4 linked regions of the Saccharomyces cerevisiae S288C genome follow. Changing the gene in region 4 together with the main gene of any one other region gives a genetic interaction. Each region holds a gene or a part of one and is shown on either strand. Other genes may lie near its edges.

Region 1 (7,568 bases), on a different chromosome or scaffold from region 4:
CAAGCCATGGTTCAACAATGGCGGCACAATGCTCAAACCATGCGGAAAACTAAATTTAGGCAAAGTCACCAATAAGACTTCCGCACCTACGAGAGAGATTCAATATGTCGTAAAGGGCTGGTGTGACAGCAGGTTTCTCTGATAGACCCCCCACCTTTTCATCGCCTTCACCCCACCCATTTGCATTATCTAAAAATAGTAAACTATATATTCTACCACCACATTCATTATATATAATATTTAAAACAACGCATTACCACCAAGCGCCCGGGTAATATTCGCCTCAAACGATCGAAGAAAGAAAAAATGAGGTCACAATAATGATGAAAAAAAGCCCCTCTATGAATTTTCTAGCACTTGACTAAGTTGGAGCAACAGCTATTAAATTTGAAGAACAGAGTGAAAAGCGACAATTTATTAAGCTGTTAGAGCATTGGACTTTTATATTTTTACCAAATGAAACGCTTTAATGGTATGTATAAATATTTCTACACAATTAACAAATGTTTAAAAAAGGGATTATGCGAATGCTCATCCCCCCATGCCATAATTTTACTATGTTACATTCAGTAGACTAACGTTCCATTTTGCTTGATTTTGCATATGGTCTTAGTAAGTTATGTGGAAGTTATAAAAAATGGTGAAACAATATCTAGTTGTTTCCAGCCGTTCCAGAAAAACGAAAACTATGGTACAATAACTTCAGCAAACGAGCAGATAACGCCGGTCATTTTCCATAATTTGATCATGGATATGGTATTACCCAAAGTAGTTCCGATCAAGGGGAACAAAGTTACCAAGATGTCAATGAATCTCATCGACGGATTCGATTGTTTCTACTCCACGGATGACCATGACCCCAAAACTGTGTACGTTTGCTTCACATTAGTAGATATGCCCAAGATTTTGCCCATCAGGATACTAAGTGGGCTGCAGGAATACGAGTCCAACGCTACAAACGAACTTTTAAGTTCGCATGTAGGTCAAATACTAGACTCTTTCCATGAAGAGCTGGTCGAATACCGTAACCAAACTTTAAATAGTTCTGGAAATGGCCAATCTAGTAATGGGAATGGTCAGAACACTATAAGTGACATCGGGGATGCCACCGAAGACCAAATAAAGGACGTCATCCAGATAATGAACGATAACATCGACAAGTTCTTGGAGAGACAAGAAAGAGTTTCTTTATTGGTGGATAAAACTTCCCAACTAAATAGCAGCAGTAATAAATTTAGGCGCAAAGCGGTCAATATAAAAGAAATAATGTGGTGGCAGAAGGTCAAAAATATTACGTTATTAACTTTCACTATTATACTATTTGTAAGTGCTGCTTTCATGTTTTTCTATCTGTGGTAAGTAAATAAAAAAAAAGGGGAGCTGTCCCACGACAATAACATTAATAACGGTTGTATTTCTTTTGTTCCTGAGAGGAAGAGAAAAATAAAATAAAAATAAGGTAAATATTTATAGGTATGTATATGCTCACGATGGCACCATCCTACCTATTATTTCTTATTATATAAACAGTGTCTATCTCATTATGATATTAAATGTATACTTTTAAGGGGGAAAACTTTTTGGTTTAGGAATATAGAAAAAAAGAGATGATATAAATGTTTGCATGTCCATTGTAAATGCATTGGCTAGATATCCCATTTAGCAAAATCTGGGATATCGATATGGAAGAAAGGTAGATTTGTTCCTGAAGCGGTATAAACGCTATATTTTTCAGGATTTTCTTCGCCTTGAGGTACTCTGGCGACGTGATAACTTGTATGACCGGCAACAATGGATTCATCACTGTATTCTTCGTTCAGAGTACCAAATCCTCTGCTAATTAAACCTCTCTTCACCCATGGTGAAATGATACCCACAAAGTGGAATTCAACTTGCCTATCTGCATATTGATTTATGGCCTTTCTCAAATCAACCAATGATTGAAGAGCCGTAGCGTCTGTCTGTGCCACTTGTGAGAAGTCTAAGCATAGTATTTTCAGCAATGGCCTGTCATCTCTTTCAACATCGACTGAGGTGCTGGGCGCGTTTTCCATGGATTCAGGGTCGTTCTCCCTTTTCTTCCAGAATTTCAAATTCTTTAAGAAAGCAGGTGCTTCCCATGGACCAGGATCATTCCATGGACGGTCAGATTTTTTTCTGTGGCGAATTAATTGACCACGTCTGGTAACTTTTTTAACTTCTTCGGTTATGATGTTGTAGTGTCTGGAACAGTTGAGATAGGTGTAGCTCTCTGATAGCCTATAAACAAGAACACCGTCTGGTGGGGGGAGAATCTGAACGTCCGGGTTCAATTCTCTTGTGTATTTATGATCAAACGGTATCCATTTAGTATGGTATTTTATCCTTGGCTGGCTAATCGAAGAAGATGGAGAATCAAAGCCCTTTGTTTGAACGTTTGTTTCTATTTTCTTGGAGGAATTTGTGACGTATTTGGTGGAACTTTCCTTGTCATCCTCACCACCATCTTCTAAAGTGGAAATACCATTGTTATTTTCAGACACGTAGCTAACCACATCGGAGTCCGGTCTGACGTAAGCATCAGTAACTTCAGCGACTTCCACACGACCCAAGAATTTTCCCGCTGGGAAAGCCACTTTTAAAATGAGCATTGCACATGACCAGCACATGGCAAAATAAATACCATCTTCAATAGAGGCAAATACCGTTATTAGGACGGTGACAATGAAACAGATGAAGTCCAATGGATTCATCTTCCAGAAATTCCAGGTAGTTTGATAAGAGGCCAAAAGATCAGATACAGCGTGAATGATAACTGCAGATAAGGTAGCCTTTGGAATGTAAAAGAATGCGCCGGTCAAACAATATAATGCTAAAAGAACACATGAACCCGAAAACAAACCAGATAACGGCGTACGGACATTACATTTAGCCTTCAAAGCAGACCTTGAAAAGGAACCAGTCGCTGGGTAAGCATTGAAGAAAGTACCTAAAAGGTTCGAGACACCAATAGCAATCAATTCTTGGTCGGGGACGACTTTATAGTCGTTGATTCTACCAAAAGACTTCGAAATAGCGATATGCTCCAACAATAACACAATAATGGATGCAGGCAAATTTGGACCAAGCTTAGACATTAATCCTGGTGGAACATGGAAAACCCCGACTTCTTTCAAACCGGATGGAACTGAGCCTAGGATGCTGATGGGCCTCTCCGATTTAGATTTGCCTCTTGTGATTGCCCAACCAATACAAGTGAATACAATAATAATGATACCATTTCTGGAAGCCTGAGCGTAAAAATATGTCCATTTGATAATTTTGTGTAACCTTGGGTTTTTGGAGTTGTATCTATCGTTCAACCTTGGTCCATATGTTCCGCACCACCATTTCCAAACATAAAGAAGGAAAAGCGGGATTAGCCCAAAAACTGCGTCCAGTTTGGTATCTGGTAAATGTTTCAAGGTCTCTATGACCACTTTATAGGTGGCAGCTCTCGTGTTAACCAAACTATTGTAACCCATTAGTGCTGGAACTTGACCCCATAAGATATTAAACGCGGATCCAGTCATAAATCCAGCGACTGCATTTAAGGAAATCAGTTCGACAAGAAACCCTAGACGCAAGAAGCCAACTGCTGCCGAAATGATACCACATAGTAACGCTAGAGTCGTTGCAATAACGGGACCAGTTATGGCAGAATCTCCATCAGGATATTTTGCCGTGACATCCGCAATGACTTTGGCGGTCTGCAAAGACATGACAGCCACGGGCCCAATACAAACATCTTTTGATGTAGCGAAAAAAGAGTAGGAGTAAGCACCAATAAACGAGGAGTACAACCCATACTGCGCTGGTAGCGTGGCGACTTGTGCATATGACATGGATTGCGGCACGAGAACACAGCCAATGGTAATTCCTGCAATAAGATCCGCAGTAAACCAGCTAAAATTGTAATGTGGTAGCCAGTTGATGATGGGAAAAACACTCTTAAGATAACTACATGCTCCTTTCACCGTGAGATGAGATCGTATACTGTGGTCATAGTACTCTTTTAGCGATACCGTTGTTTCTTCAAATTGGGAAACGGAATTGTCATACAACGAGACATCTGAAGGATTAAAGTAGTCAATCTTCGAGCCTTTTACGCCCTTTGAGCTGTTCACTGCGTTGTGCTTTGCTACAGAATTGCTCTCTAAGTCCTTATCATTAAACGTGTCATTATTTTCATTATTTTTATATTGGTCATACTCTAATTCTAAATCATCAAGATCTGGAACGGTGTTGTTAGTTTCCTGAAAGTCAGGAATTTCTACCTCTTCAAAGTTTGGATAACCTTCCCTGGACATATCTTAGATAATTCCCTGCTAATCTATACACACACACACCTCAAGAAAGAAAAATGTTACAGAAAGATAAAAACTTCCAGGCTTTAGTACGAGCCTAACCTGTTCAAGTATTGTGTTGATACCTTGATATATATATATATGCGTATTATTGAACGCAGAACACTGAACGGCAGATCATCCCTCAACCGGCTATGACTAAAAACTGGACTTTGGTTCAACCATACCGCTATCCGACGTTGCTAGTTTCTGCGATCTTTTTCAGTCCTTGTTTAGGACCACAACTGTGGCCGAATTTCTCTCTTCACGTGACCTGACACGGCCACAGTGGCACGTGACATTTACTCCAGTATAACAGCCAACAACAACTAATCAACTTCCCACCGGGTGCAATGAAACATCAAAGGCTCCGTGGTGGAGTCGGCATTAGTAGTCGTATATGCCCTTGCACAAGCTCGCATATAGAGCCTTCTAAGGCGTCGCTCTACAGTCTCGTCATAGAAGACGGCAGTCAATGCCAGCTCGTTCTCAGGAGAGAGCGGGGGGTTTTCTATGAAGAGGCTCTTGTAAATATGAGACAGCTGTCTTGCGAAAAGTTGGGCAATTTGTTTGGCCGGAGAAACTTCGCCAAGAGCGTTCCTGACAGGAATTTGCACGCCAGGGGAGGGGTATTTTTTGTGATTGTAGCTTAGATGACTGTTCGCTATTAAAAATTTGTAGTGGTTTCCAAGAGAATTTATCAGGAATATCCTCTCTGGTGTGAAGGTATCAAGATCTGTCCCACTCAGACGCATTAACGATGGCGGCGTTTGGACCCAAGGGTTTTTAACGTTAAACAGTGTTATCCAATCCGCCTTCAGCCAGACGCTCCTTGAAGACGTTGAATTTAGTTTCCCATTGTTTACAGCGATGGAATCTACCAAGTCTCTGTGGTTCTCAAATGGCCAGTGAGTCAGTAGAAAGTGGTAGTGTTTTTGGAAGAGATGCGCATGTCGTGGGAGCGGGTTATTCCATTGGAAGTGCGTTTGGTAAATGATACTCTCCAGTGCTTTTAAGCTTGCCCTTAAATCTTGTCTTCTTTGCGCCTTCTCGTACAGTTGTAGTGATTTTGTTAACGGCACGGCTATTTCTTTGAACTTGTAATCGCTTTGTTTACTTGTGAGTGTGGTCGTCAATGCTACCTTGGTTATTTGATGAAGCGGCGTAGACTCTATGACCGGCAGTAATAAGGCGTTAACCTGGGACGCCATTGTTGCTCCAAGTTCGCAATCGCTGTTCTGATAGAAGGCCTTTGTATGCTTGCTTTATGTCCGCCGCGATGGGGATTCTTCCTATTTTTCTACTGAAGGTGCGAAAGACTTCATTCTTCACCGCATTCAGTAAATGAATTTCATATATATACATATATACAGGTAGGATAACTTATGAAAAAAAAAAAAAAATAGAATAAAAAGTTATTGATGCCATCATTGGATACAGCAGTACGAACTTCTTGCTTTCTGATGCGCTGAATCCTGTGCTTCTGGCTTGAACGGCCTTATCCCTTCTGGAAGATCGTCCGTGTGAATGATCCGGAAATTTGATATAGTTTCGTTGTTAGTCAGGTTGCTGTCATCTTCAGTATTTACAGTCGCATGTGAGGCACAAGATGAAGATGACGGCAGATTCGTTTTTATTGCTAGTAGTTCTGATTTTTCATTGAACCAGTTATCTGGTGGAAATTCAATATGAACGAAAACATACAGATCGCCGCACCGGCCATGAGGGTTATCTAAAATGGGCCAACCTTCATTGGCGATTTTGATGGTGTCACCAGGTCTTACTACTCTGCCAGGTTTAACGCTCAATGTTAGTAACCTGTCGTCGAAGGTTTTTGTCAAAAATTTCTCAAATCCCGTCAAGGCCTCGCTTAACGATATGGTAATGCTTGTATACAAATCTTCCCCGGCGCCGTCGTCAAAGTTCTTCAAAAAGATTTGCTTCTGCTCCAAGTTTTCTTGTTTTTCAGTGAGATGGAACTTTAAATCACCACATGTGGTCTTATCGATTTCCTCGTCCGCCATCCCCTTGACTGTAATTACGTCGTTAAAGTGGTGTCCCGGAGCCACGTTCACTGTGATGATTTCCTTCTTTGACAGGAGCCCCAAGCCTGCGCAATCGGGGCAAAAGTTCTTTGGATTCTTGGGTCTTTTAGTGTACTTCCCCTTACCATTACATTTCTCACAGACCACCCATTGCGAAGCTACCAAACCGGGACCAAACCTCTTCAGACGTTCCTTTGAACCCTTTCCAGCGCATGATTCACATTCCACATCGTGTGTAACGTGAATTTTCCTCTTTGGTTTCCAGCCAGAACCGTGGCACTTTATACAGATGACCTGTCTCTTTAAATCAAACTTCAGCTTCTTGCCCATGTACAAATCCTTCAAAGTAAGAGATATATCGATATCGATATCCTTAGAGCTTGTAGAGTTGCCCTCTTCGTACGCATCATACTCGCCAGGGAAATTATTTCCATCGTGACTTCCATTATTGAAGAAATTGTTAAAGAAGTTCATAAAATCTTCATCTCCAAAGCCATTAGCGCCACCGCTGCTAGCGGCACCATTATCATCACCATACAAGTCGTAATGTGATTTCTTCTCCGGATCGCTCAAGATCTCGTAAGCGGCAGTGATCTCTTTGAATTTGATTTCATTTACCTCCTTTGAGTCTTGATCCACATACTTGTCCGGATGATGTTTCAGGGCAAGCTTTCTGTAAGCAGTTTTAATCTCTTGCACGGTCGCATCTCTCGTCACCCCCAACACATCGTATAACCGGTCTCCTCTATCACTGCCACTCATTCAAAACTACACCTGCGTACTTACTTTTCCCTTTCTTTTGGGTCCAAGCGGCATATCTCTTAAGATAAGATAAGCCTGACTCTTTCTTTGCCTCTCTGCCTTTCTTTCTTCTTCCCTTCTGCAGAGGATGGCTCGTCGCTACTCAAATCCCGACCCAAGAAACAAAGAAACAAGGATTGCACAGCAGAGCGCTGCCCCACACACATATATGCATATGTTTATTTACCGCATATTCGTGGCTATATAATCCATATATAATACACAGCACATTCATGATATAATCTTACATAGTAGCACTTCCCATTAGACGTTTTCTGCTTTTACAGTACTGGTTTTTTTTTCACTCTTGCGTCTTTTTTTTTTTTCATTCTGAAGGGGTCCAAGCCTAACGATTTTC
Region 2 (5,683 bases), on a different chromosome or scaffold from region 4:
GAGGAAAATTTTAAAACAATAAGTAAGATTGGGAACATGGCTAAAGATATAATAAATGAATCAATTCTAAAAAGAGAAAGCGGTATCCATAAACTGCAAAGCACACTGGACGATGAAAAAAGGCATCTAGATGAGGAACAGAATATGTTAAGTGAAATAGAATTCGTTTTATCTGCTAAAGACCCATCCAGATTAAATAAAAACGTTGATGAAGACAATATTATTCCTACGTATGAAGTGGGGGATGGAGATGACGATGACGATGATGGTGATAATGATGATGATGATGATGATGATGATGATGACAAAAATTACGATGATAGATCCAATGACAGCAATTATGGCGTTACTAATATTAGCACCACAGATAAGAAGAATGAAGTTGTAGAAAAGACAGATAGCGAACATAAAAACTCTACTCATAATCCTAGTGACAATCAATTTGGTATGAAACGAACACATGATATGATAGGTCATGATGACGCTAATGACATACCGGAAAAAAAGGTTCATCTTGATTCGAAGACGAGTGAAGATGGTACTTTCAACAGTGAGGATGGACATTATGAGTTAGATATAGAAGGCCACGTCGGCGCCCAAACCGACGAAGGTGTTGAGAATTCCGGAGGGGTTTCTTCTAGTATACAAGACTTGTTAAGTAAGCTTGCAAATTAATATGATGGTTGAGTAAAAAGAAAACAAGGAGATAACTTATACAAATATATAGTAACCCGTTTAAGTCCAGTCTTTTTTCGTAACTATTTGCCCATAGTTTATTTCGTATTCATCTTCACTATTTCCTCGACAAAAAAGATGCGCACCTAAACTACATGGACACCTATGCAATGCTATATAGAATATGAATCGCCAATGCTTTTTATTATATCATCGTGCAAACTTTTAGTCTGCTCCTTTTCAAGGCCCATGATTTCTTGCACCAATTTTTCAAGAGACTCTAGTCCAAGCTCAGCCTGAGTTCTTCTACCTATCCTGTATGATATCACTTCCCCGTCGGTATCGGATTTCTCCTCCAATCTGACTATATATTCGCGCTTTTCTAAACTTTTTATCAAATCTTCAATAGTAATGTTCAGTATAGCAATCTTTGAACCATCGCTTGGAATGCCAAATGTCTCTAGAAATTTGATCAATTCCTGATGTAATATGTTATTCTTAGAGAAGAAAACAATGCATAAAATGACGCTCAAAACACCCTTGTAAACAAGATCTCGATCTGTACTCAACTTGCTTTCTAAGGTATTGGAAGTTCCTGAAGCTATATCGTCACCAATATACTCTCCGGTAACTATTAGCTCTTCATAAGTGTGAGCGCTTTGTAAAATCTTGAAATCGTCAAAATTTTTTGAGTGCGGGACATTGTTTAGCAAGATAAATTTCTGGGCTCTATGTCCCAGTGGCTCAGGCATTGATTTATTTGTATTGCTATTGCTTCCATTACCGCCAGCGTTCATATTATTTTTTGACGGCAATCCTTGTAATTCAAACCCATATACGTTATACAGTATAGCATTTATGTCCATAAACATTTTACTAAAAGACGGTTTTGCTATGTTTTCCTCGCGAGCAGCTTCATGTATAACAGATTGTAACTTGTTTCTTGTTATGATCGAATTTTGAGATTCTCCTCTCGATAAAATATACCTAACCATTTTTCTAGCTACAGGATTCTCTTTAACGATCTTGGCCACGGCTAAATCTTCTGTTAAATCCACATCGCTGTCATTATCTATAGAACTCATGCTAATGAGAAGCTTATGTTTATCGAACAACCTTCCCTTGTAGCATACTGATATAGGACCCCTTCAATCGAAGTTGATAATAAGCGCATTACTCTTCATTGAAATTTTTCTTCACGTATATCGCGCTGTTAAAGGAGAGGGCCGCATGCATGTAATACTTGCTATTCTTGAGTCAGAAGCCCACACTAAGTGACCTGTGAAATCAAGTTGCTGCTTCAAGATATCGTCCTGTACTGGAAAAAAATACTAGTAGGAATTGCGTGAAGTACTATATAAACTTTTCTTAGATGTAGCTTATTTAACGACACCTGAGGGGGGCATTTAGTATTCTAACTCACCCGCAACGTGAGGCCAAAACGATTCTGCAAATCGCTTCTGCTCCATCGACTCACATCCACCTCTAATAGCCAAGTAACATCTTCTGTCTAATGGAATGTTCCATTCTCCACAATTTCCGCCAACCATTATTCCTCCTGCTTCCTCAAGAATACACCAACCGGCACAAACATCCCAAGCCCAGCAGCCACCTTCCCAATAAGCATCAAGCATGCCGCTCGCTACGTAGCATATGTTCATGGCAGCACTTCCTGCACTTCTGAACCCGTGAACAAAGGCGCCGGACTCACTTAGTAAGTTTTTATAAGTATTCATTTTCTTATCAAAGTTTCCTTGGGAACCTTCAGTTCTTTCCGAACCTCCTTCTAAAGCAATTAAGGATTTTTGCAAAATCAATGGCCTTTTTGAAACCTTTATCTCCTGATCATTTAAGAAAGCTCCATTGCCTTTGGAAGCATGGAATAGTTGGTTTAAGTGAGGATTGAAAACCACACCAACAACCGGCTTCCCCATTTCAGCTAAACCTAGAGATGTACAACTATAGGGGTAACCGTGAATAAAATTAGTAGTACCATCGATGGGATCAACAATAAATGTAGGGCCGTTAGTTATTTTCGTGACACCTTTTACATAAGTTTCTTCTCCGATAAATTTGAAACTGGGATACTTGGCCGTTAAATTTTCCTTGATTATAGATTCAATTTGTTTGTCTAAAGCAGTTACCAAATCTACGCCATTTGCTTTATCATCATATGAACAAAAGTTTGTTCCTGCGTGCGATTTTACGAGAGGTCCTATTTTACTCCTAAGTAATTCAATAAATGTGTTCTCCACTTCCTCTAGTACTTGCCTCGTTAATACCATCGCTTCAATCTAAGTTTACTTTACAAGGGCTTGTGGAGCTTCAACTTCACTTATTCTCTATATTGTTTTCACGATTTTTTCTCCCCACGATTTCATATGTAATGAAGCAGGGTGCTTCACGGCGTTATCACTCGGAACACTGACGTTCTTTATTAAGAATTACCGTTTTAAGGGAAATAATAAGAGGTCACTTAATATGACTGTGAGAATCCATTTTTGTAGTTTTTTAGTTACTGGCTTTGGAATGTCAATATAACTGTGATTGACTTCCCTTTTTTTCGCTTTATGGGTCTATGATGTGCGCAAGTTGTTACCTTTCCGTAGAGAGTTCGGAGTTGATGCATTGTAAAGTTTCGTTTAATTCATAACAGAAATTCGTAATTATTCAGTAAGACATAAAACTTAAGGAACATATCACCATGTTGAGAGCGTTCCGCTGTTCTATACATACTTCGAGGGTATTGTTACATGATGCTGGAGTGAAATTAACTTTCTTCTCAAAGCCTAATTGTGGGTTATGCGATCAAGCAAAGGAAGTGATAGATGATGTATTTGAAAGAAAGGAATTTCATAATAAAGCAGTTTCACTAGAGATAGTCAACATAACTGACCGAAGAAACGCAAAATGGTGGAAGGAATATTGCTTCGACATACCAGTACTTCATATTGAGAAAGTTGGTGATCCTAAGTCGTGCACCAAGATCCTGCACTTTCTTGAAGAAGACGATATCAGTGATAAAATAAGGAGAATGCAATCTAGATGACCTCTTTTGTTTTTACTAGAGTTACAACACTGTAAATATTTATAAGCTATGAATAAGTATATACCTCAAAAAACTATATCTACGCTAATTTTACTATGCATACTTCTTACGCAGGGAACAAAATGAAATGTATTCGCACAAAACGATTTCAAATTTTCCATTATCCTCTATTTCCTTCTCCTTTTCTTGCTTATTTTTAATGACTGGTCTTCGTCTTCTACTAGTAGTAATTTTTTTCTTGAAGAAATTGGAGGTTTCATGCAATTTGAACCCTTCTTGATTTTTCCTCTCACTGGTTTAATTTGGATTGGGGAAGGGTTGGTTAACTCTAGGTCGTCATTTGATGATGAAGAAAGATCGAACTCATCGTTAAATTTGGATGTTTCTTTGGATGAATTAATTCTTGACTTACTTATATGATCCACCTTAGGACACTTTTTCATAGGAGAGTGAATGGCAGCAGAGTTATTAGGAAATAAGTTGGACGTCGTAGCATTTTTTTTGGGTGAATCTGATGGTTTAGTAAAATTTTGTGTACCTTTTTTACTAGGCTCGTTCCGTTTATGGTTTTTTATCTCTTCTAGCTCTTTAATCTTCTGTTCTAATTCCCTCTTTTGCGATTGCACCTTTTGCTGTAAATTTTTGGTGACTTCTTCCAAACTTTCGAGGTTATCTTGAAGTTCTAACTTTTCAGCTGTTATATCTTGCTTCTCCGATTTCAGAACTATCACTTGCTGTTTTAGGGTTTTTACATCGCTTAGTGATTCTTCAACACCAGTTTCCTTTTTTTCTAAACAATTTTTTAAGTGCCTATTCTGCTCTTCAAGCTCCAATTCATGAGCCTTCAGTTGTACTACTTCGACGTTTAGCTTTTGTAGCTGCTCATTGTTCTTTTGGAAAGCCTCCAGTTTGGTTGTATGATCCTTCTGTTCATTTTCTTTGATTTCTACTAGCTGTTGAATTCTTTGCTTCAGAGTGTCGTTTTCGGAAACTAAAGCCTTCACAATTTCATTCTGAGAAGATATTTTATTTTCGTAATTTGATTTTGTTGTGATGTTCAAATTGTTGAGTTTTTCTAGTTGATCCTGGACTTTTTTCAGTTCATTAGAAAGGTTTTCATTTTTTTCAGTTAAACTTTGTTCTTTGCCAGAAATTTGTGAAATTTCGATATTCTTCGCCTCCAACTTTTTGACCAAATCTTCATATTGTGCTTCTTTAGTACCAAGAGAGCTAATAATCTGATTTTTTTGTGAAGACAAAGTTGACCTTTCACTCTCCAAATGTTTTATCCTTTCTTCATACTCATTCGACTGAACTATTTCTGCCTTATATGCCTTCACCAAGTTTTCCAAACTCGCGTAATTTTTGGCTGTTTGAGACGCATCATCAAGAAGCTCTTGCCTTGTGTTATTCATTTCACTTACCAAAGCAGTTTGAATATTCCCTGATGACGTTAATAGTTCTTCTTGTACTCCCATTATAAGTCCTTTTTGCGTTACACTCAGCTCATTTATTGTTTTTGCCATTTCATCCTTACTGGATGACATTTTTTGTTCAAGATTTTCTTTGATATCTTCATATTGCTGCTTTAGCATGGTCTCTGTATTACTACTCAACTCTACAGTGGTGTTCCTCAAGCCTACGTTAAGGGTATCTTTTGCCACATCGAAGTGCTTTTGTAATTTTTTTTCAAACAAATCATGAACTCTTTCTTCGAATTTGTTAAATTGCAGTAAATGGTGTGCTTTATCTTCTGAAAAGAAATTCTCAATTGATTTAATCATTTCTTCTCTATTTTTTCCCATTTCCTGTATTAAGGAACTGTTTTTGATTTTTTCTTCGCTCAACTGACCTGAACAATCATCTAGTTCTCTTTTCAGGTATTCAATCTCTTTACCTTTTTTCATTAATTCTGCATCCGCCTCCTTTTTGTTCTTCCCTAAATCATTTATTGTTTTG
Region 3 (6,264 bases), on a different chromosome or scaffold from region 4:
CGAAACTTTAGGCTCTGTCAACGTTATCTGCTCCGACAAAACAGGTACACTAACCTCAAACCACATGACCGTATCTAAACTTTGGTGCTTGGACAGTATGTCCAATAAGCTAAACGTCCTCTCATTAGACAAAAATAAGAAGACTAAAAATTCTAATGGAAATTTGAAAAACTATTTGACTGAAGACGTTAGGGAAACTCTAACTATCGGTAATCTCTGTAATAATGCATCTTTCTCTCAAGAACATGCCATATTTCTGGGAAATCCTACTGATGTAGCTCTTTTAGAGCAATTGGCAAACTTTGAAATGCCTGATATCAGAAACACCGTTCAAAAAGTTCAGGAACTTCCATTTAACTCGAAAAGAAAATTAATGGCAACCAAGATTCTCAACCCTGTCGACAATAAGTGTACAGTTTATGTTAAAGGTGCATTTGAAAGAATTCTTGAGTACTCCACAAGTTATTTGAAATCAAAGGGTAAAAAAACTGAAAAGTTGACTGAAGCCCAAAAAGCTACGATAAATGAGTGCGCAAATTCTATGGCATCTGAAGGTTTGCGTGTCTTTGGATTTGCTAAACTAACTTTGTCTGATTCATCAACTCCTCTAACCGAAGACCTAATCAAAGATTTAACCTTTACTGGTTTAATCGGTATGAATGACCCACCAAGACCGAACGTTAAATTTGCCATCGAACAATTACTACAAGGTGGTGTCCATATTATTATGATCACTGGTGATTCTGAGAATACCGCAGTAAACATTGCAAAACAAATTGGTATTCCAGTTATTGATCCAAAGCTTTCCGTTTTATCCGGTGATAAATTAGATGAAATGTCAGATGATCAACTGGCCAATGTCATCGACCACGTTAATATTTTTGCTCGTGCTACGCCTGAGCATAAGTTAAACATTGTTCGTGCATTAAGAAAGAGGGGTGATGTGGTAGCAATGACTGGTGATGGTGTTAACGACGCTCCTGCGTTGAAACTTTCAGATATTGGTGTTTCTATGGGTAGAATTGGTACAGATGTAGCCAAAGAAGCCTCAGATATGGTCTTAACTGATGATGACTTCAGTACTATTTTAACTGCCATTGAAGAGGGTAAAGGTATCTTTAATAATATTCAGAATTTCCTGACTTTTCAATTGTCTACTTCTGTTGCCGCACTATCATTAGTTGCACTATCTACAGCGTTTAAACTACCCAATCCACTGAACGCAATGCAAATTCTTTGGATAAATATTTTAATGGATGGGCCACCAGCTCAATCCTTAGGTGTGGAACCTGTTGATCATGAAGTTATGAAAAAACCTCCAAGAAAACGTACCGATAAAATTTTGACCCATGATGTAATGAAACGTTTACTAACCACCGCGGCCTGTATCATCGTTGGGACAGTTTACATTTTTGTTAAAGAGATGGCCGAAGATGGTAAAGTAACTGCTAGAGATACTACTATGACATTTACTTGTTTTGTTTTTTTTGATATGTTTAATGCTTTGGCCTGCAGACATAACACAAAGTCAATCTTCGAAATCGGCTTTTTCACGAACAAAATGTTCAACTACGCCGTTGGACTGTCTCTGTTAGGTCAAATGTGCGCTATATATATACCATTTTTCCAAAGTATCTTTAAAACTGAGAAACTTGGTATCTCTGATATACTATTGTTATTGCTCATCAGCAGTAGCGTTTTCATCGTTGATGAATTGAGAAAATTGTGGACGAGGAAAAAGAATGAAGAAGACTCAACGTATTTCTCAAATGTTTGATATGTCACATTTTGTGCTTTTATCGTTTTTCCTTCCTTCCCTTTATCTTTCATGAGGACGCCCAACCCTATTGAGGTAAATGTACTAATTAATGGGAACATATGTAGATGTATATATGTACATATATTTACAACGGATACTAAGATAAACATGTATGGGCGACTTTTCGTATATACAAAGCAATATAAAATTTTATTCTTTCCTTCTTTTTCCGGACTAGATATAAAATCTCCGTAATCAGTGGTTATGATTTTCAAAAGTTAATCACAGTTTTATTTAAAACTGTATACAATTATTTGCAGCCGCCTTTCGCAATCTGTTCATAACAGCTAATCCTTCTCCTTCCTCATTTATACCTTCGACAAATATTAGGTCTACTTTATCATTTTCATCCACTTTTCTTAAAGCTGCAAACAAGTTAGTCTGTATTTCTTCACCAGATTGGCCAAGTCTTTCGATGATGAAAGTTTTCGAAGAAAAATCGGGTTCATTAAAGATCTTAGATTGTAAGTCGGAATCACGTAATTTTAGGGAAGTTAAAATCGCAATTTTTTTTATATTACTGTTGGCTTTTAATTCCGTTTCGATTAACCTCTTTAATCTTTCCATCCTATCAACGCCCTTAAGAATGCCATCGCCTTCGCAATGAGGAACTAGTAAAACAACTTTAGCTGAAGGGGAATAGTGTCTATACTTCATACCAGGCGTTCTTACCTTTTCGCCCTTTTCAACTGTTTTCTTATTCTCAACTTTACAAAGAGACCAAGCTTCACCACCCAATTTAACAATTTCTTCATATGTAAAACCGCCAGGTCGCAGTAGCGTAGGAGGATTACATAACCCATCAACAACAGTACTTTCTACACCAACCTTGCACGCTCCGCCATCAAGAATTATGGGAATTTTATCCTTTAGATCATGATAAACATGAGACGCTAAAGTAGGAGATGGCCTAGTAGACGCATTCGCTGAAGGAGCAGCTATTGGTGTATCGCTCAGGGCAATCAGTGCTCTAGCCACTGGATTAGCGGGTATGCGTACCGCAAACGTAGGCTGATCTGCGGTCGTTAACTTTGATAATGCACTATGCTCTGAAGATGGAACTGGCAAAAGAATTGTTAATGGGCCAGGCCAAAGGCTTGAAATTAATGGGCGATAGATTGAGGGTATGTTATCAAACAAGGATGTACCTGATAGATGCGGTTGATTAAAGACCTTTCTGTTAAGTTGATCAATGGATGAAACATGTGTAATCAAAGGATTGTCACTAGGCCTATTTTTGGCCCTGTATATACTAAGCACTGAATTATCATTTAAAGCAGAACCTCCAAGACCATAAACAGTTTCGGTTGGAAAAGCCACAGTCTCATCTGTATCTCTTATTATCCTCGCCGCTTCAACTAGCGCTGCTTCCGTTTCAGGATCTGTTATCGTTGGTAAGGAACCATCTATATGCGCATCAGGGGAGAAAATGATTGATAGCGGGTTAACTTTTAAGATCTTGGTATCAAACAGTGCTTTCGATGTCATTGCCAAAAAATGTCGTCCAAGGTACATACAATTCTAAAAATGGAATAATAAACAGGACTACCATTAAAAATGGAAACAGGTTTAGTGGTAAGTTAACAGCGCAGAAGAAAAAAAAAATTTGAGGAGAAGAATAAAGCTCTCGCTTCAAATATTATCAGCTTCAATAGGTATGTGCGATGAGGTTACTATCTTCTGGGTGAAAAAATAGTAAGGCTAGCGTAGATAATGATTTGAAATTTCTCAAAAAAATATTTTTGATACATATAATAATTTTGAAGCCTGAATTTTTCAACGAAATAGCCTTGTTGGCGCAATCGGTAGCGCGTATGACTCTTAATCATAAGGTTAGGGGTTCGAGCCCCCTACAGGGCTATCTTTTTTAGGCTCAAATCAAAAAAATGTCTAATATATTAAATTCTACTTCCTTTTTATATCTCAAAGAAGAAGGCATTTAACCCCATTCATATGGTTTACACTTGTGTTGAGATTTGTTGCTTGCGCTTCTTTTATCCTTTTAAACCGCTTATTTATCCTTTCCAACGATAAGGCTCAAATGACATCAATGTTCTCTTTTGTGTCACAAGAAATATAAATAACAACAATAAAACATTAGGTATTTAGTTGGAAGTCAAACTTGAAACTCTTCCCGGTTATGTTGTATTGGCAAGGAAAGAGCTGAATTGGTTGAGTGATGGGAGCTGGCACTCTTTTAAATGGATTAGAAAAGGAAAACTTTCCAAATAACATCCATTCAGATTTGCCTGCGTATCCTAACATGGATTCTCAAGAAGATGGCAATACTAGTAAGGAAAGTAAAAGAAATAGTCCAGTAAAACAGAAGTCCCAAAAAGATGAAGAAAAGTCATCTAAAATGGGGACTGCAAGCAACATATTCCATGAAAATAAAGATATACACGAAAGATCTGAACACACGGACGATTTTAATGATGGCTTAAAACTGGCTCCGGACTCTAGTCCAAGCTTGAAAGAGTGTCAATTTAAAAATTGGGAAAGTTTTTGGTGTAATACAGAAGGTTACAAAACTAAACACATGCAGCCCTTTCATTTTACAAGCGGATTAGAAGAAATAAAGGAACCGGTCATGGAATTGAATATTTCCACTTCACCATACAAGGGACAGAGGCCAAATTCAGCTCCAACCGAGTATTCAGCTGCCACAACAGCGTTTACCAAAACACAATTAGAGGTGAGTTTTCTAAAAACCAACTTGCTTACATACATTAAAAAAGAGATTGACATTTGCTTGTCAAGTGTTCCATTTTTTGACGACGCAGTTCAAATGCAAAAGAAATTCTTGGAATACAGAGATATTGACTTGGATGAAGAATATGAGCTCAAAATTTTGGGGGAACTTTTGAATGATTTAAACTTCTTTCATATGCAAGAAAACTCTTTGCTAAATAGAGAGCTAGCAGTTCGTAGATTCTCCAATCAACCTGAAAGTCAAAATTTACCTTCCATTAGGGATTTTAGAAATCCACTTTTGCCAATAGATAACCGCCCTTCTCCCCCATTAGGATTGAAAAGAAACGGAAAGTCTTTCGAGGAAACCTATGATTTCACGTCCAATACATCAAATTTTTGGGGAGAAAAAGCAGAACTACAAAACTCCATAACTGGTGGAACACCCTATTTTTTCCACCCTAACAATATACATCAAACAAAACCTTTTATGTCATTTGAAAATCAAAATGAACTTCTATTCCAGAGAAAAAATTCAGATTACAAGCAGCATTTTAACTCTGGAAGAAATATACATAATGGAGTGGAATCGAAATCTTACAGAGGTGTGGGGTTAAACGATAGTTATCAAAAGGGTTATGCAGCAATGACAAAGTCGTTTGGAAATATCGATTTAAATAGAATGCCCAGAAGAAGTAATGAAGAAATGTATAGCTGGTCACGTAATTGATCAATGAAAGTAAATAAAAAAAACTACTAATCATATATACATGTCTTGCATACGCACGTTTGTTTATATTATTTCGAGAAATGTTTTTTTGAAAGTTCTTCATTTTTTCTTCTTTTGGATGCTGCAATCATTTCTTGTTGACGTCTTCTTTTGGCCTTATCCATCTTAGGCACAGTAGTAATCTGCTTTCTTTCTTTATGCGCTTTACCGTTTTTTATACTTTCTTTCTCCTTTCTGGTCATTTTAGCCATTTTATCCATCCACTCAGATACTTCACAACCACTTTGTTTCATGACATTTATTATTGGTTTAATAGCTACTGAGTCTTGTTTAGTATAGAATGTGATAGCTTTACCTGACCGCCCACCTCTACCTGTTCTACCAATTCTGTGAACATAAGCCTGAGACGATCCTGGAACGTCATAATTGATGACCAGATTGACACCTTTGAAGTCAATACCACGAGCTAAAACGTCGGTACAGATCAAACACCATAATTCACCAGTTTTAAATCGTTCAATAATCCTGTCTCTTTGTAAGGCTGTTCTTTCTGCATGAATCACATCTACGTTAATCCTATCGTACATCAATTCATGATATAACGCTTTTGCTCTTGTAATAGACTCTAAAAATATTATGATCGGTGGCTTGAACTCACCCTCTTGAACGAGTTGTCTAATAGCAATTAGTTTACCCTCTTCATTACCACAAAATATTAATTTTTGTTCAATATTTGTATTTGCTGCTTCCTTGTGGCCAATAATAACTCTAACAGGATCCATCATTATACTTTGTGCAATCTCTTCTACATTGGATGGAATGGTCGCAGAAAACATCGCTTTACGCAACGATGGCTCTCTACAGGCGCTCAAAATATCGTCACTCTGTTCAACGAATGTTTTGTCAAACAATTTATCAGCTTCATCAAATATCAAATGCTTAACTTTGGAGAGATCGAGAGCTTCGTTTTTCACAACATCGATTAGTCTTAATGGGGTAGAAATGATTATATCATATTTCTTAT
Region 4 (3,222 bases):
ATTTGGAAGATATTTTCGCTCTTGAAAGCTATAGAGATTAATTATGTTTTTCCCTTGGTATACCTTTTCTGTGTTGTCTTTCAGTTCCTGTCTTTAGGATGTTATTTATCGATCTTTTTCAGAAAGACCAAAAGCGAAGAAGCGAAGAAGAGGACTTCTCTGTACTAAGACCAAATTATGTAAAAGGAAAACTAAACATGAATATGTGAATTTATTTCCAAAACACAGCAGAGCTTAAAGATGGGGTAAACTCATATTCATATTCATATACACGTATGTATATAAAAATTCATTTAAAAGGATTGCTTTGGTTTTCTACAACACTAAAAAGCACAATAAAATAATAAAGTAAAAAAAAAAATGTGATAATGAGGTCGTTTTAAGGTACTTTTGTTATTTCATCTCCCAAGCAGTTGATCCTATACACTAATACACAGACACATTAACCACACGTTCAGATATGTATGAGAAAAAGGAAGAAGAAAAATAATTTTTTTTCCTTACACTAGGCCCCTTTCTCTTTCCAAACGGGTCTTCATTTTATTAAACCAGTCTTGCAATGTTTCGCCTTTCCGGTTTAGCACTACAATGATGGCAGTCATATTGTCAAAGCCGACACCAGTATTGCTATTTGCCTGCGCTATCCCGTGGTCCAACAATTTTGTTATTATTGTATCCAACTTCGTCCCTGATACCAGGTGATACTTTATAAAGTGAATTAACTGTTTGTTGTTATAAATATCCCATATACCGTCGCAAGCCAGTACTAAAAACTCATCTTTAGAATAGTCAATCTTGTGCATCAATACGTCTGGTTCAACGGTAACTTGTGCTTCTTGTGGTGGGGTTCCATAAGTTAAATTCTGGGTAATATTTGTTAGTTTTGTCCTTCTATGTGGATAAGTGACACCTCTCTTGAATTGGAAATCACTAAATGCCCTACTGAGAGCCAGTACTCCACCCACTCTTCCAAGAGAGACAGTACCACCATTATCGTTTATACGTATCAATTCTCCTATGTGTTGTGGCTTATGATCGAAAGACATCGTCTTTATGCCATTCGATTTGGAGGAAAGAATACATCGCGAATCACCACAGTTAGCCACATACAGTGATTCCTCGTTTATGATGCATGCTACTACTGCTGTAGATCCACACGAACTGTTGGCAAAATGTCGATATAACTCTTCATCTTGCAATATGAAAGCGTCTTTAAAAATTTGAGAAACAAGTCCTTCCAACGTATTGAAGGATCTTTTAAATTTTGATGAGTCGTTATTAGTTGTAGATGTGTAATGGTGGTTTTCGAAACTATACGCAATCCATTTGATCAGGCCAGCGTTGGGTTCACCATTACCGTTGCTACTGCCGTTACCATCGCGATGGTGGCGGCCGCCGCTTAGAAATTTCGAACAATCATCTCCACCATGACCATCGAATACTGCGAAGACGTTCAATGACAGGGTTTCGTATTTGTCTATGAATGGGTTGAAAAATCGTACGTACACAACAGAGTTTTCATTTCTAATTAGATGTGCATCTTCCTGAGTCAAACGATAGCCTTGCATGGACCCCACACAATTGTAAAATCGTGGAACAATACCAGTTGACGCCTGGTTGTTTTTATATTCATTATATTCTATGGTCTTCTCCGTCAACGGATGGGAAAGCAATTGACCCATTTTTGTCTTCTTCAAATTGAAGTTACTTTCTAAAATGGCTATATAGGGGAGAATAGAGGCAAAAAGGGCGATGGGATAGAAAAGAAGACGTAAGGGCTCCGTGCTAAGAAAGAAGAAAAAGATGCAGTTGAAAACAACGTAAAACTAGAGATCCAATGTCAATTGTTTATGTAGCCAATATCTTCGTTATGCGGTGTGAACAGCGACAATAAAAAAAAATGTGGGATAAATTATGGCTTTTTTTTCTTGATTTCCTTTTTCTTTTTATTCATGATGTTTCGAAGAAGAGATCAGCGCGGGAGAGAAAGAAAGAGAGAGAAAAAGAGGGCCTATACGGTGAAAAAACTACTTGCGCAGCTTCAGTAACAGCGCTACAGACAGGCGTTAACGAATAGGAGAGGACGTGTGGCGTTTCAGTTATGTCATTTATATAATTTTATATAAAGTATAAAAAAAGTGAATAGAAGAGAGGGCAGAGAAAACCGGACCAGGAATAGACGATCGTCTCATTTGCATCGGGTTCATCAGTTTTTGGTGGCAGAGGAGCTTGTTGAGCTTGATGATGTACTGTATAATTCATGGACGAAATTTTCACCCCAGAAGGCAGAAGTGTATTTAGAGATGTATTTGTAAAGTTTTTCCCAGTTAACTTCTTTCTTTACATCGGGCAAAGTCAAGGCCTCGTTGATGGCATCAGAAAGATCATCGGTGTTCCAAGGATTTACAATAATAGCACCATTCAAGGATTGTGCGGCACCTGTGAACTCACTCAGGATTAAGGAACCTTTCTTTTCTTCTTGGCAAGCAATATATTCGTAGGAAACCAAGTTCATACCATCACGGGTGGACGAGACCAAACAAACATCGCTCACAGCATATAACGAAATCAGCTCTTCAAATGGTATAGACTTGTGCATGAAATGGATGGGGACGAATTCCACAGTACCGAACTGACCGTTGATTCTACCGACCAACTCATTGACCACAGATCTTAAATATTGGTACTCTTCCACATCTCCACGACTTGGCACTGCAACCTGTACCAGAACAACCTTGCCCCTCCATTCTGGATGCTCGTTCAGAAACACTTCCATGGCGTGCAACTTCTGAGGCACACCTTTGATGTAATCCAGCCTGTCGACACCAACTATGATCTTGCAGCCCTTGAAAGTTTCCTTCAATTGTTGGATTCTCTTTTGTACGGATTCCTTTTTCAACCCATCGGTGAACTTGTCCACGTCGATACCGATAGGGAAGGCCCCTACGTTAACGAATCTGCCCTGGTATTCCACCCCATTAGGCAATGTGTTCACGTTAAGCACTCTTTGCACGGAAGACAAGAAATGTCTTGCATAATCGTATGTGTGGAACCCGACTAAATCACAACTCAAAACACCCTTCAAAATCTCTTGTCTGACAGGTAAGATTCTGTAAATTTCACTCGAAGGGAATGGTGTGTGCAGGAACCACCCGACCTTAACGTTTTGCAGTTGCTTCTCGTGAATCTTGACTCTCAACATTTCCGGAACCAACATCAAAT

What was found.
Region 1: mutations in PTC4 (region 4) and SUL2 together harm fitness more than expected from each alone (negative genetic interaction), as found in Saccharomyces cerevisiae (one large-scale study listed by BioGRID).
Region 2: mutations in PTC4 (region 4) and INM2 together harm fitness less than expected from each alone (positive genetic interaction), as found in Saccharomyces cerevisiae (one large-scale study listed by BioGRID).
Region 3: mutations in PTC4 (region 4) and SPO74 together harm fitness more than expected from each alone (negative genetic interaction), as found in Saccharomyces cerevisiae (one large-scale study listed by BioGRID).

The regions. Positions count from the first base shown.
Region 1 is NC_001144.5:320,304-327,871, reverse strand, and holds SUL2 (sulfate permease), read right to left. Parts: upstream 4,329-7,568; coding exon 1,647-4,328; downstream 1-1,646. Other genes in the region: GIS3 (Gis3p), read left to right, coding at 1-142; NYV1 (Nyv1p), read left to right, coding at 457-472, 614-1,359; GEP5 (Gep5p), read right to left, coding at 4,694-5,575; XDJ1 (Xdj1p), read right to left, coding at 5,792-7,171. UniProt on the Saccharomyces cerevisiae protein: High affinity uptake of sulfate into the cell.
Region 2 is NC_001136.10:1,033,272-1,038,954, reverse strand, and holds INM2 (inositol monophosphate 1-phosphatase INM2), read right to left. Parts: upstream 2,961-5,683; coding exon 2,082-2,960; downstream 1-2,081. Other genes in the region: RTT103 (Rtt103p), read left to right, coding at 1-675; Smc5-Smc6 complex subunit NSE3, read right to left, coding at 849-1,760; MGP12 (Mgp12p), read left to right, coding at 3,380-3,724; ZIP1 (Zip1p), read right to left, coding at 3,892-5,683. UniProt on the Saccharomyces cerevisiae protein: Responsible for the provision of inositol required for synthesis of phosphatidylinositol and polyphosphoinositides and involved in the inositol cycle of calcium signaling.
Region 3 is NC_001139.9:183,129-189,392, reverse strand, and holds SPO74 (Spo74p), read left to right. Parts: upstream 1-3,998; coding exon 3,999-5,240; downstream 5,241-6,264. Other genes in the region: Ca(2+)/Mn(2+)-transporting P-type ATPase PMR1, read left to right, coding at 1-1,777; HUR1 (Hur1p), read right to left, coding at 1,597-1,929; SUA5 (threonylcarbamoyladenylate synthase), read right to left, coding at 2,054-3,334; RNA-dependent ATPase ROK1, read right to left, coding at 5,309-6,264. UniProt on the Saccharomyces cerevisiae protein: Involved in the pathway that organizes the shaping and sizing of the prospore membrane (PSM) during sporulation. Probable component of a core structural unit of the scaffold that initiates synthesis of the prospore membrane.
Region 4 is NC_001134.8:486,699-489,920, forward strand, and holds PTC4 (type 2C protein phosphatase PTC4), read right to left. Parts: upstream 1,683-3,222; coding exon 501-1,682; downstream 1-500. Other genes in the region: alpha,alpha-trehalose-phosphate synthase (UDP-forming) TPS1, read right to left, coding at 2,207-3,222.